2 linked regions of the Macaca mulatta genome follow. The protein of the gene in region 1 purifies or fractionates together with the protein of each later gene. This does not show direct contact. Links are inferred from orthologs where the notes say so. Each region holds a gene or a part of one and is shown on either strand. Other genes may lie near its edges. The genes, in order: STX10 and NAPA.

The links.
Region 2: the proteins of STX10 (region 1) and NAPA purify together in Homo sapiens (affinity purification with mass spectrometry; 3 studies listed by BioGRID and IntAct, with this or other methods). This does not show direct contact. The link is inferred for Macaca mulatta from reciprocal best matches to the Homo sapiens genes STX10 and NAPA.

Annotation. Positions count from the first base shown.
Region 1 is NC_133424.1:13,721,068-13,725,493, reverse strand, and holds the start of STX10 (syntaxin-10), read left to right. Parts: upstream 1-1,433; 5' UTR 1,434-1,439; coding exon 1,440-1,474; intron 1,475-1,715; coding exon 1,716-1,885; coding exon of another isoform or gene 1,886-1,895; intron 1,896-2,037; coding exon 2,038-2,132; intron 2,133-2,530; coding exon 2,531-2,593; intron 2,594-4,426. UniProt on the Homo sapiens protein: SNARE involved in vesicular transport from the late endosomes to the trans-Golgi network.
Region 2 is NC_133424.1:59,984,718-59,989,042, reverse strand, and holds the end of NAPA (alpha-soluble NSF attachment protein), read left to right. Parts: intron 1-887; coding exon 888-956; intron 957-1,823; coding exon 1,824-1,874; intron 1,875-2,866; coding exon 2,867-2,968; 3' UTR 2,969-3,619; downstream 3,620-4,325. UniProt on the Homo sapiens protein: Required for vesicular transport between the endoplasmic reticulum and the Golgi apparatus. Together with GNA12 promotes CDH5 localization to plasma membrane.

The sequences.
Region 1 (4,426 bases):
CCACGAAGGCCATCTCCCAGAGACGCTACAGAACGACCCTACATACACAAGAGACGACCCGCTGAGACCCCGTTCATCCCATCTCTCCCCTTCCCAATTATTTCCCCCATACAAGGCCCCCTCCCAGGTTATCCCTGACCCCTGCCCCACACTGATCTTCTCAGGCCTTGGGGCACCCTCCCGTCCCGCCCTCCCCCCGCACGGTGGGAACTCAAAAATTATTCCCCCTTAAAAGACCATTCCCAAACTCGTCCCCATTCAACGATGGTGCCACACTGCGACGACCTGCCGAAGACGCCCCCGTCCCCGCCCCACTAACCTTACCACGGAGACCCCACAATGACTTACCCGGCCCAGGCGCTATCTCTGAGACCCCACGCAGCAACTCTGACGCGCAAGGGGGCGACCCTCTGAGGACTCCCTCGGATAACCCGCCCACCCTCCAGGGGAGACCAGGCCCCCTACCACTCAAAAAAGTGCTTTCCCGAAGCTTCCCTCACCCCTCAACACACAGAGCGCCACTGTCACACATAGGGACGACCCTGAGTCCCTTCGCTGATATTCCTGGCCCGTACCCAGACGGAGACCCCACACAGAGGGCCCCCCTGGAGACCATCCTCAAAGCCACCATACCTCCCGCGACCCCCAGGCTCTCACCCAGAAAGAATCCGCGCTTCTGAAGACACCCACCTCCACGCACGCTCTCGAAGGTGACCTCCCCCCGCCCCTGGAATATCTGGGACCCCCACTCACGGCCACCTCGCCCCAAGGCGACCTCGAGGTGCCCCCAGCTTGCCCACTTCTCAGGAAAGAGAGATTTGGAGAATGCGGCAGAACTCCCCGCAGGAGCAGGCCCGCTCCTCGCCCCGCCCCGGCAGGGAGAAGGAAGGACCACCTCTCCCCCAAACCTTGCCCAAACCTGACACTCGGGACCCTGGACTGGGACGATCTCCCAGGTGCCAGCTCAGGGAGTCCATGAAAACGTTCAACCAATCGAATGAGCCCCTTCCCCAGCCATAGTCCCCAGCCGCCAGAGATAAGGGAGGCTACCATTATTTACATTGCCCGTGCCTGGAAGGGAAACTGAGGTTGAGCAGGAACAATCCGAGGAACTGAGCCTTGAACCGAGATTCCGAACTCGGACCCGAACAGGCCCAGCCAGAACTCCGACACCGCTCCCTACGGTGCGGCACAAGAGGGCGAAGGGGCGGGGCATGCGTACCGGAAGCTGCCTCTGCCCACAACCAAGATGGCTGCAGAGAGGGCGGAAGTGTCCGCACGTCCGGCCTCCGAGGCCTCTCTTTCTGCCCTGGCGGTCCCGCTCTCGATGGTGGCGTGACGGGGGGCGGGGGTGGTGGCGCGTTCTCCTGGGTTGGGAGAGAACCAGCCCGCGAACCCAGGCCGGGAGGGGGTTTCGGCCTGGGGGGAAGGGGATTGACATGTCTCTCGAAGACCCCTTTTTTGTAGTCCGAGGGTGAGTGACCACGACGGGGGAGGGCGGAGGGTGCTCCGTCCCCAATCCAGCTAGTGCCCGGGTGCCGGCTCCAGCGTGCCCGGCGGGCTAGGCAAGGCCGTCGGGGTGCAAAGTGGGAGGCGCACGCAGGGGTATGTGGGGGTCTCCGGAGTCCCCCATGCGTTTGGGTTTGCAATCGGGGGCAGAGGCAGGCGGAAGGACCGCCTGCCCCCAGCTGCGCCCGCCGTGCCCCTGCCCGCAGCGAGGTGCAGAAGGCGGTGAACACGGCCCGCGGGCTATACCAGCGCTGGTGCGAGCTTCTGCAGGAAAGCGCGGCGGTCGGACGCGAGGAGCTGGACTGGACGACCAATGAGCTACGGAATGGCCTGCGCAGCATCGAGTGGGACCTCGAGGACCTGGAAGAGACCATCGATATCCTGGGGCTTTGTGGCGGGGGGTGGCATGGGAGAGCTCACTGGGGTAGCAGGGGGCCTGGGAGCCCGCCCTCGGGGAGGGCTAGACCCCTAGGGAGGGGGATGATGATGCTATCTGGCTCTGGCCTTGACCCTTGACTCTCAGCCCACGTATAGTGGAAGCCAACCCAGGCAAGTTCAAGCTCCCGGCCGGGGACCTGCAGGAGAGAAAGGTGTTCGTGGAGCGGATGCGAGAGGCAGTCCAGGTCAGGAAAGGTCCTGCAGGCGGGGAGTGGGGGACGGTTTGAGTGTCTTTTTTGTTTTGTTTTGTTTTGTTTTCTTTTTTTTAACAGAGTCTCTGTCGCTCAGGCTGGAGTACAGTGTTGCCATCTTGGCTTACTGCAACATACGCCTCCCGGTCTCAAGCGATTCTCGTGTCTCAGTCTCCTGAGTAGTTGGGACTTCACAGGTGCCTGCCACCATACCCGGCTAATTTTTGTGTTTTTAGTAGAGACGAGGTTTCACCATGTTGGGCAGGCTGGTCTCGAACTCCCGACCTCAGGTGATCCACCCGACTCGGCCTCTCAAAGTGCTGGGATTACAGGCGTGAGCCACCGCGCCGGGCCTGAGTGTCTTTCCTCCCTAATGCTGTCCTCACTTCCAGGAAATGAAGGACCATATGGTCAGCCCAACAGCCGTAGCATTTTTGGAGAGGAATAACAGAGAGGTAAGCCTTCCTAACCCACTCGGTCCACCTGAGCGCCTGGGGGTGACCACGCCTTTGAGTGCAAGCCAGATCCCTCTGCATGTGTTCGCCTGTCCCTTTTGCGACAGTGCCCGTCCTCTCTGTGTGTAGTTGTCTTCTTGCTGTCTACCTGCCTGCACTTTCTCGGTGTGTGCACCTGAACTTCTCTGTGTGTATATGTCCATGGGTTCCTCTCTACTGTCTCCTCTGGGTCTATACTGGTTTCCTGTTGCAGGGGACGGCTGGGGGCCTGTGTACCTATCTGCTTTCTGCTTCCATGCCATTTGTCCTGTTTGTAGCTGTTTCCAGGACGCATGCCTGCCTTTTACTCTTTTTTTTTTTGAGATGGAGTCTTGCTCTGTTGCCCAGGCTGGAGTGTAGTGGCTCGATCTCAGCTCACTGCAAGCTCCGCCTCCTGGGTTCAAGCGATTCTCCTGCCTCAGCTTCCCTAGTAGCTGGGATTACAGGTGCCCATCACCATGCCCAGGTAATTTTTATATTTTTAGTAGGGTTTCATCATCCTGGACAGCCTGGTCTCGAACTCCTCACATTTCACATCAAGTGATCTGCCCGCCTCAGCCTCCCAAAGTGCTGGGATTACAGACATGAGCCATTGCGCATAGCTTCCTTTTTTTTTTTTTTTTTTTTTTTCCTGAGATGCAGTCTCGCTCTGTTGCCAGGCTGGAGTGCAGTGGCGCGATCTTGACTCACTGCAACCTCCGCCTCCTGGGATCAAGTGATTCTCCAGCCTCAGCTTCCTGAGTAGCTGAAATACAGGCACATGCCACCATGCCCGGCTAATTTTTTTTTTTTTTTGAGACGGAGTCTTGCTCTGTTGCCCAGGCTGGAGTGCTGTGATGTGATCTTGGCTCACTGCAACCTCCGCTTCCCGGGTTCAAGCCATTCTCTGTCTCAGCCTCCCGAGTAGCTGGGATTATAGGCTTCCACCAGAATGCCTGGCTAAATTTTGTATTTCTTTTTTCTTTTTTTTTTTTTGAGATGGAGTCTCGCTGTGTCGCCCAGGCTGGAGTGCAGTGGCCGGATCTCAGCTCACTGCAAACTTCGCCTCCTGGGTTTATGCCATTCTCCTGCCTCAGCCTCCCGAGTAGCTGGGACTACAGGTGCCCGCCACCACACCTGGCTAGTTTTTTGTATTTTTTTAGTAGAGACAGGGTTTCACCGTGTTAGCCAGGATGGTCTTGATCTCCTGACCTTGTGATCTGCCTGTCTCAGCCTCCCAAAGTGCTGAGATTACAGGCTTGAGCCACTGCACCCGGCCAAATTTTGTATTTCTTTTTTTTTTTTTTTTTTTTTTTTTTGAGACAGAGTCTCGCTGTGTCTCCCAGGCTGGAGTGCAGTGGCGTGATCTCGGCTCACTGCAAGCTCTGCCTCCTGGGTTCACGCTATTCTCCCGCCTCAGCCTCCCAAGTAGCTGAGACTACAGGCGCCCGCCACCACGCCCGGCTAGTTTTTTGTATTTTTAGTAGAGACGGGGTTTCACCATGTTAGCCAGGATAGTCTCGATCTCCTGACCTCGTGATCCACCCGCCTCGGCCTCCCAAAGTGCTGGGATTACAGGCTTGAGCCACCGCGCCCGGCCCAAATTTTGTATTTCTAGTAGAGATGGGGTTTCAACATCTTGGCCAGGCTGGTCTTGAACTCCTGACCTCGTGATCCACCCACCTCGGCCTCCCAAAGTGCTGGGATTAGGTGTGAGCCACCGTGCCCGGCCAATTTTTTTTTTTTTTTTTTTTTTTTTTTTGAGACGGAGTCTTGTTCTGTCACCCAGGCTGGAGTGCAGTGGCCGGATCTCAG
Region 2 (4,325 bases), about 46 Mb from region 1:
ACCATTGTCACCTCGTCTTACAAGTGAAGGTGGTGAGGCTGGGACCAGAGTCCCTTGTTTGAGGCCACATGGCTAGGGACCTGTAGTCCCAGCGTTCCAGATCTTTGTGACTCCCGTTGTCACGACTTTAGCTGTAGCTCACATGCCCACCTATTTTCGGGGCGCTTGGCAAAAGAGGGGCCAGAGAGGGCAGTGGGAGGGGACGTGGCCAGAGGGAAGGAGCTGGAGGGTTGGTGCTAGATTTTGCTTGGCTGGAGTTTTCCTGCCATTGCCTGGCAGAAGCATGGAGTCCAGGATTTCCTGGTGTCCCTGGCTGCCCAAACCCCTGCCTCACGGCCTGGGGTGATGGCCCCACACACCCCCCACACACACACCCCATAGAGCCCTGCTCTGCTGTGGGCACCGGTGGTGGGCAAAAGCTTGGGCTTTGTCAGACCAGGTTCACATTCCCACCCCATGTCTCACCGTGCCCTGGGCAGGTCACTGCCCCCTCTGGATCTGTTCCCTCACTTTCAAAAAGGGGCTCACCGTTATTTGACCCTCTCAGGGTCCTCAAGAAGCACCAGCCCCAGGCCTGCCATGGAGGATGTGCTCATTTGTCCCCTGCCCCAGCTGAGCCAGGTGGGAGGAGGCAGTGGGTACCTGTCTGAGGAGCCTTCCCCCTCCACCCACCTCTCCCTGCAGCCGTCTCTGCCAGCCAGGCTGGTGCTGAGCTCAGCTGCGGGAAGGTACTGACAAACAGAGCCAGGTGACACCTGAGGCTAGAGGAGGGGCGCAAAGAGCTGACTCAGTATCACCAGACATCCCCAAGTCCCCTCGGCTGCTAGGCCAGCAGCTCTGAGGGCCCTCTTGTTACTAACTCATCCTCCCCCTTCCCTGCTGCCCAGCTGGCTGTCCAGAAGTATGAGGAGCTGTTCCCAGCTTTCTCTGATTCCCGGGAATGCAAGTTGATGAAAGTAAGTGCTGGGTGCTCCAGCCTCCCCCTTCCCGAACCCCAGATGGGGGTGGCCGGGGCTCCAGGTGGGACAATCATCAAGACTTGTCCAGTGGTTCTCAGAGGGTATGTTTATTTTGTTTTCTTTTCTTTGGCCATTTGACTCTCCATTTTTCAGATAAAGAAAGTACAACTTGGGGAGTGCTGGAGCTCGGGATGGCTGGGTGAACACACACACACACACCCCACATGCACATGACACACATCCCACACACACACCACACCACACACACTACGTACACCACACACTACACATACCACATACACCAAACACTACATACACTACACCAAACACTACACACACCACACCACATGCTACACACACACCACACACGACACACACCTCACACAATCACTACACACACCACACACACACACACGACACATTACACGACACACCACACACATCACACACGACACCACACATACCACACACGACACACACCCCACACGACATACCTCACACACATAACACACACCACACGACATACCTCACACACATAACACACACCAAACACACCACACACACACCAAACACCACAGACACACACACCACAGACACACCACATATCCACACACACACACATTCTGTGTGATGTTCTATGTTGGTAAGGTTGCCCTGAGAGCTAGCCGTTTCTGATGAGTAGGGCAGCAGGATTGCAACACGCCCCTACCTGTCCCCAGTTTAACCCACATGGACTGACCCTCTGAGAGTCCTCAGGAAACCCCAGCCCCAGGCCTGGCATATAGATAGTGTGTGCTTTCATCTAATCCAGGCCGACCTCAGGTCAGCCTGGGCCCCAGACCCCTCTCTGCCATTTCCTTGCAGAAGTTGCTAGAGGCCCACGAGGAGCAGAATGTGGACAGCTACACCGAGTCGGTGAGTGGCCCGCATGGGGGTCAGGCCCCTTCACAGGGATGGGTCCCCTAGGAAAGCCGCCCTTCTCAGACATGCTCTCCCCTGACATTCACCCATTTTTATCTGGCCCCCAGCCCACTGTGAATTTCTTTCTCCATTCACCCCAGAAACCTCACAAGTAGCCCCAAGAGATGCAGGGAGTGTTTTCCCCATTTTACAGATGGTGGCCTTGGCACCTCAGGGGCAGAGCTGGTGTTCAGAGCCACATCTGTCTGCTCCTGAAGACCAGGGTTCCTTGAGTCCCCCAGTTGAGTGTGTGAGACTCACAGTGGCCGCCTTGGGCACCCAGGAGGCACAGACTGGGAGGGAAAGGGTGAGAAGGAGAGTGGAGCTGAGGACACGGGAGAGGCGCCAGCTTCCCTCTGCCTGGTGGAGCCGCCCACGTGGCTCTCTCTCCCTTCCCTTTCTCTGTTCCCAGCGTTCCTGGGCTCAGTGGCGTCCGGCTTATAGGTCCTGATTCGCTCCTCTAATGGCACATGTCAAGCATTTCTCCCCAGGTGCCCCTTGGGAATGGAAGCCCCTAGCTGAGGACAGCGAGCAAATGCCATCCGGTTCCTCTTGCCCCGGACAGTGGGTGGCAACTCAGCCAGGAGCTCAGGGAGGGGATGCCCAGCAGGCTGCGGCTTCTCTCTCCCATGCCCCATGGCACTCAGGAGTGGCCTTTTCCGTATCTCCAGGCCTCAGTTTCCCACCCATTCAATGAGGATGCTGGACCTTTTTTTTTTTTAAAGCTACAATCCCTCTCCCCCAAGGGAAATGTTGTGCCTAGCATAGTCAAGACAGACAAGAAGGAGCTCCCCTGGCTGAGTCGGGGCCTCGAGCCCTCCCTCTGCTCCTTCTCAGAGACCAGGGTGACAGGGACAGATCTTGAAAACCTTCAGACAAGTGCCCTTGGGCTGCAGGGTTGGGAACAGGGAGGAGCATGGCCAGCCCATCACCTGGTGTGCCCTCAGGTGAAGGAATATGACTCCATCTCCCGGCTGGACCAGTGGCTCACCACCATGCTGCTGCGCATCAAGAAGACCATCCAGGGCGACGAGGAGGACCTGCGCTAAGCCCCACCCAGCCTCCCAGCGCCCGTCTTCGTGTCCCATCTGCTTAGAGAGAGGTGGGGCCGAGACTTGCTGGAGAGCTTCCCTCCTTTCCCACCTGGGGAGTCCCGCAGGCCACAGTGGGCAGGTGGCAGCGGGGGTCAGCATGCGGGGGCACCAGAGGCCCAGGCTGCTGGCTGGACAGTCACCCTCTGCTCTCGCTACATCCCTTGCTCCCTGCCCATTTATTTAAGCCCCCATAGGTGCCCTTCACCCCCAAAACCAGCTGTACAGAATCTTTGATACAGACCTATTTGCTAGGGGTGCTGCCGGGGGTTTGGGGTCAGCATCTGGCCCCCCATCTCCTGACCAGCTGATTCATGAGGCCGGTTTCTGTCTCTCCCACTTTTGTCCCCCAGCCAAGCTCTAAAGCACATGTAGCCGCTGAGACTTGCTGTCTCTACGGGGGGAAGCTCCTCTTCCCCCAAACTCTGGGAGCTTCCCCCAGCCTCCTGCAGCCCCGACCTCTCAGGTTAGACCCCGGGCCCTGGAGCTTAGGGGGTTGTCCCCGACCCCAGCCCCACACCTGCTCCTTCCCTAATGCTTTGAGGTTTTCTTGGTTGGAAGCTGCAGCTGGCCCGAGAAAGAAAATAAAAAACAACACTTTTGCATGAGTCTCTCTTCCTCCTTGTCTCTGCTACCCACTTTGCCCCTGGGCCGGTCACCTGTTCTCCTCACACTCCTGGTCCCCCAGACTCTGGGCAAGCTCTTGGGAGGTTGGGAGCATGCATCCTTGAAACACGTGTGGGCTGGGTCAGTTTCTAGGTTGGGGAGACCCAGGGATGGTGGGCCTGGGGAGGAGCTCTGGCTTGGAAGTCCCAGAGCGCCCATCTTGATCTAACTTTCTCTGGGTTCTTGGGGTCCAGGGACCTTGGTTTCCTCAACTGGGATGCATGGTGATGATGCCACCCCTCAGAGCCAGTGGGAGGGTCGAATATGACAATCCTCATGACTGCTTTGGATGAGAATGGGTGGAAGCTCGCCGAATCTCCCATGTCCACATTTCCCTGGCAGGAAGGCTGAACGCCCCGGTGACAGTTGTTCCATCTGTCACAGGACGGGGGAGGAAGCGGCTTTGGTGGGCAGAGTCTGAGGCCCGAGTGGGTCTGGGGAGTGGGGGAGGAGATAGCAGGAGCCTTTGCCCGGGAAAAGTGGGCAGGAACCAGCTGCCTCCACCACACTCCACAATGTGCATGTTGGGGGACCTGTCTGTTACGCATGTGCTTTACCCTGCCCTGTGCAGGGCCCCTCACTATGGAGGAGACGGGCTGGAGGAGGCTCAGTGCTCAGGCAGGATGGGAAAGTGTCAGGAAGTGAGCAG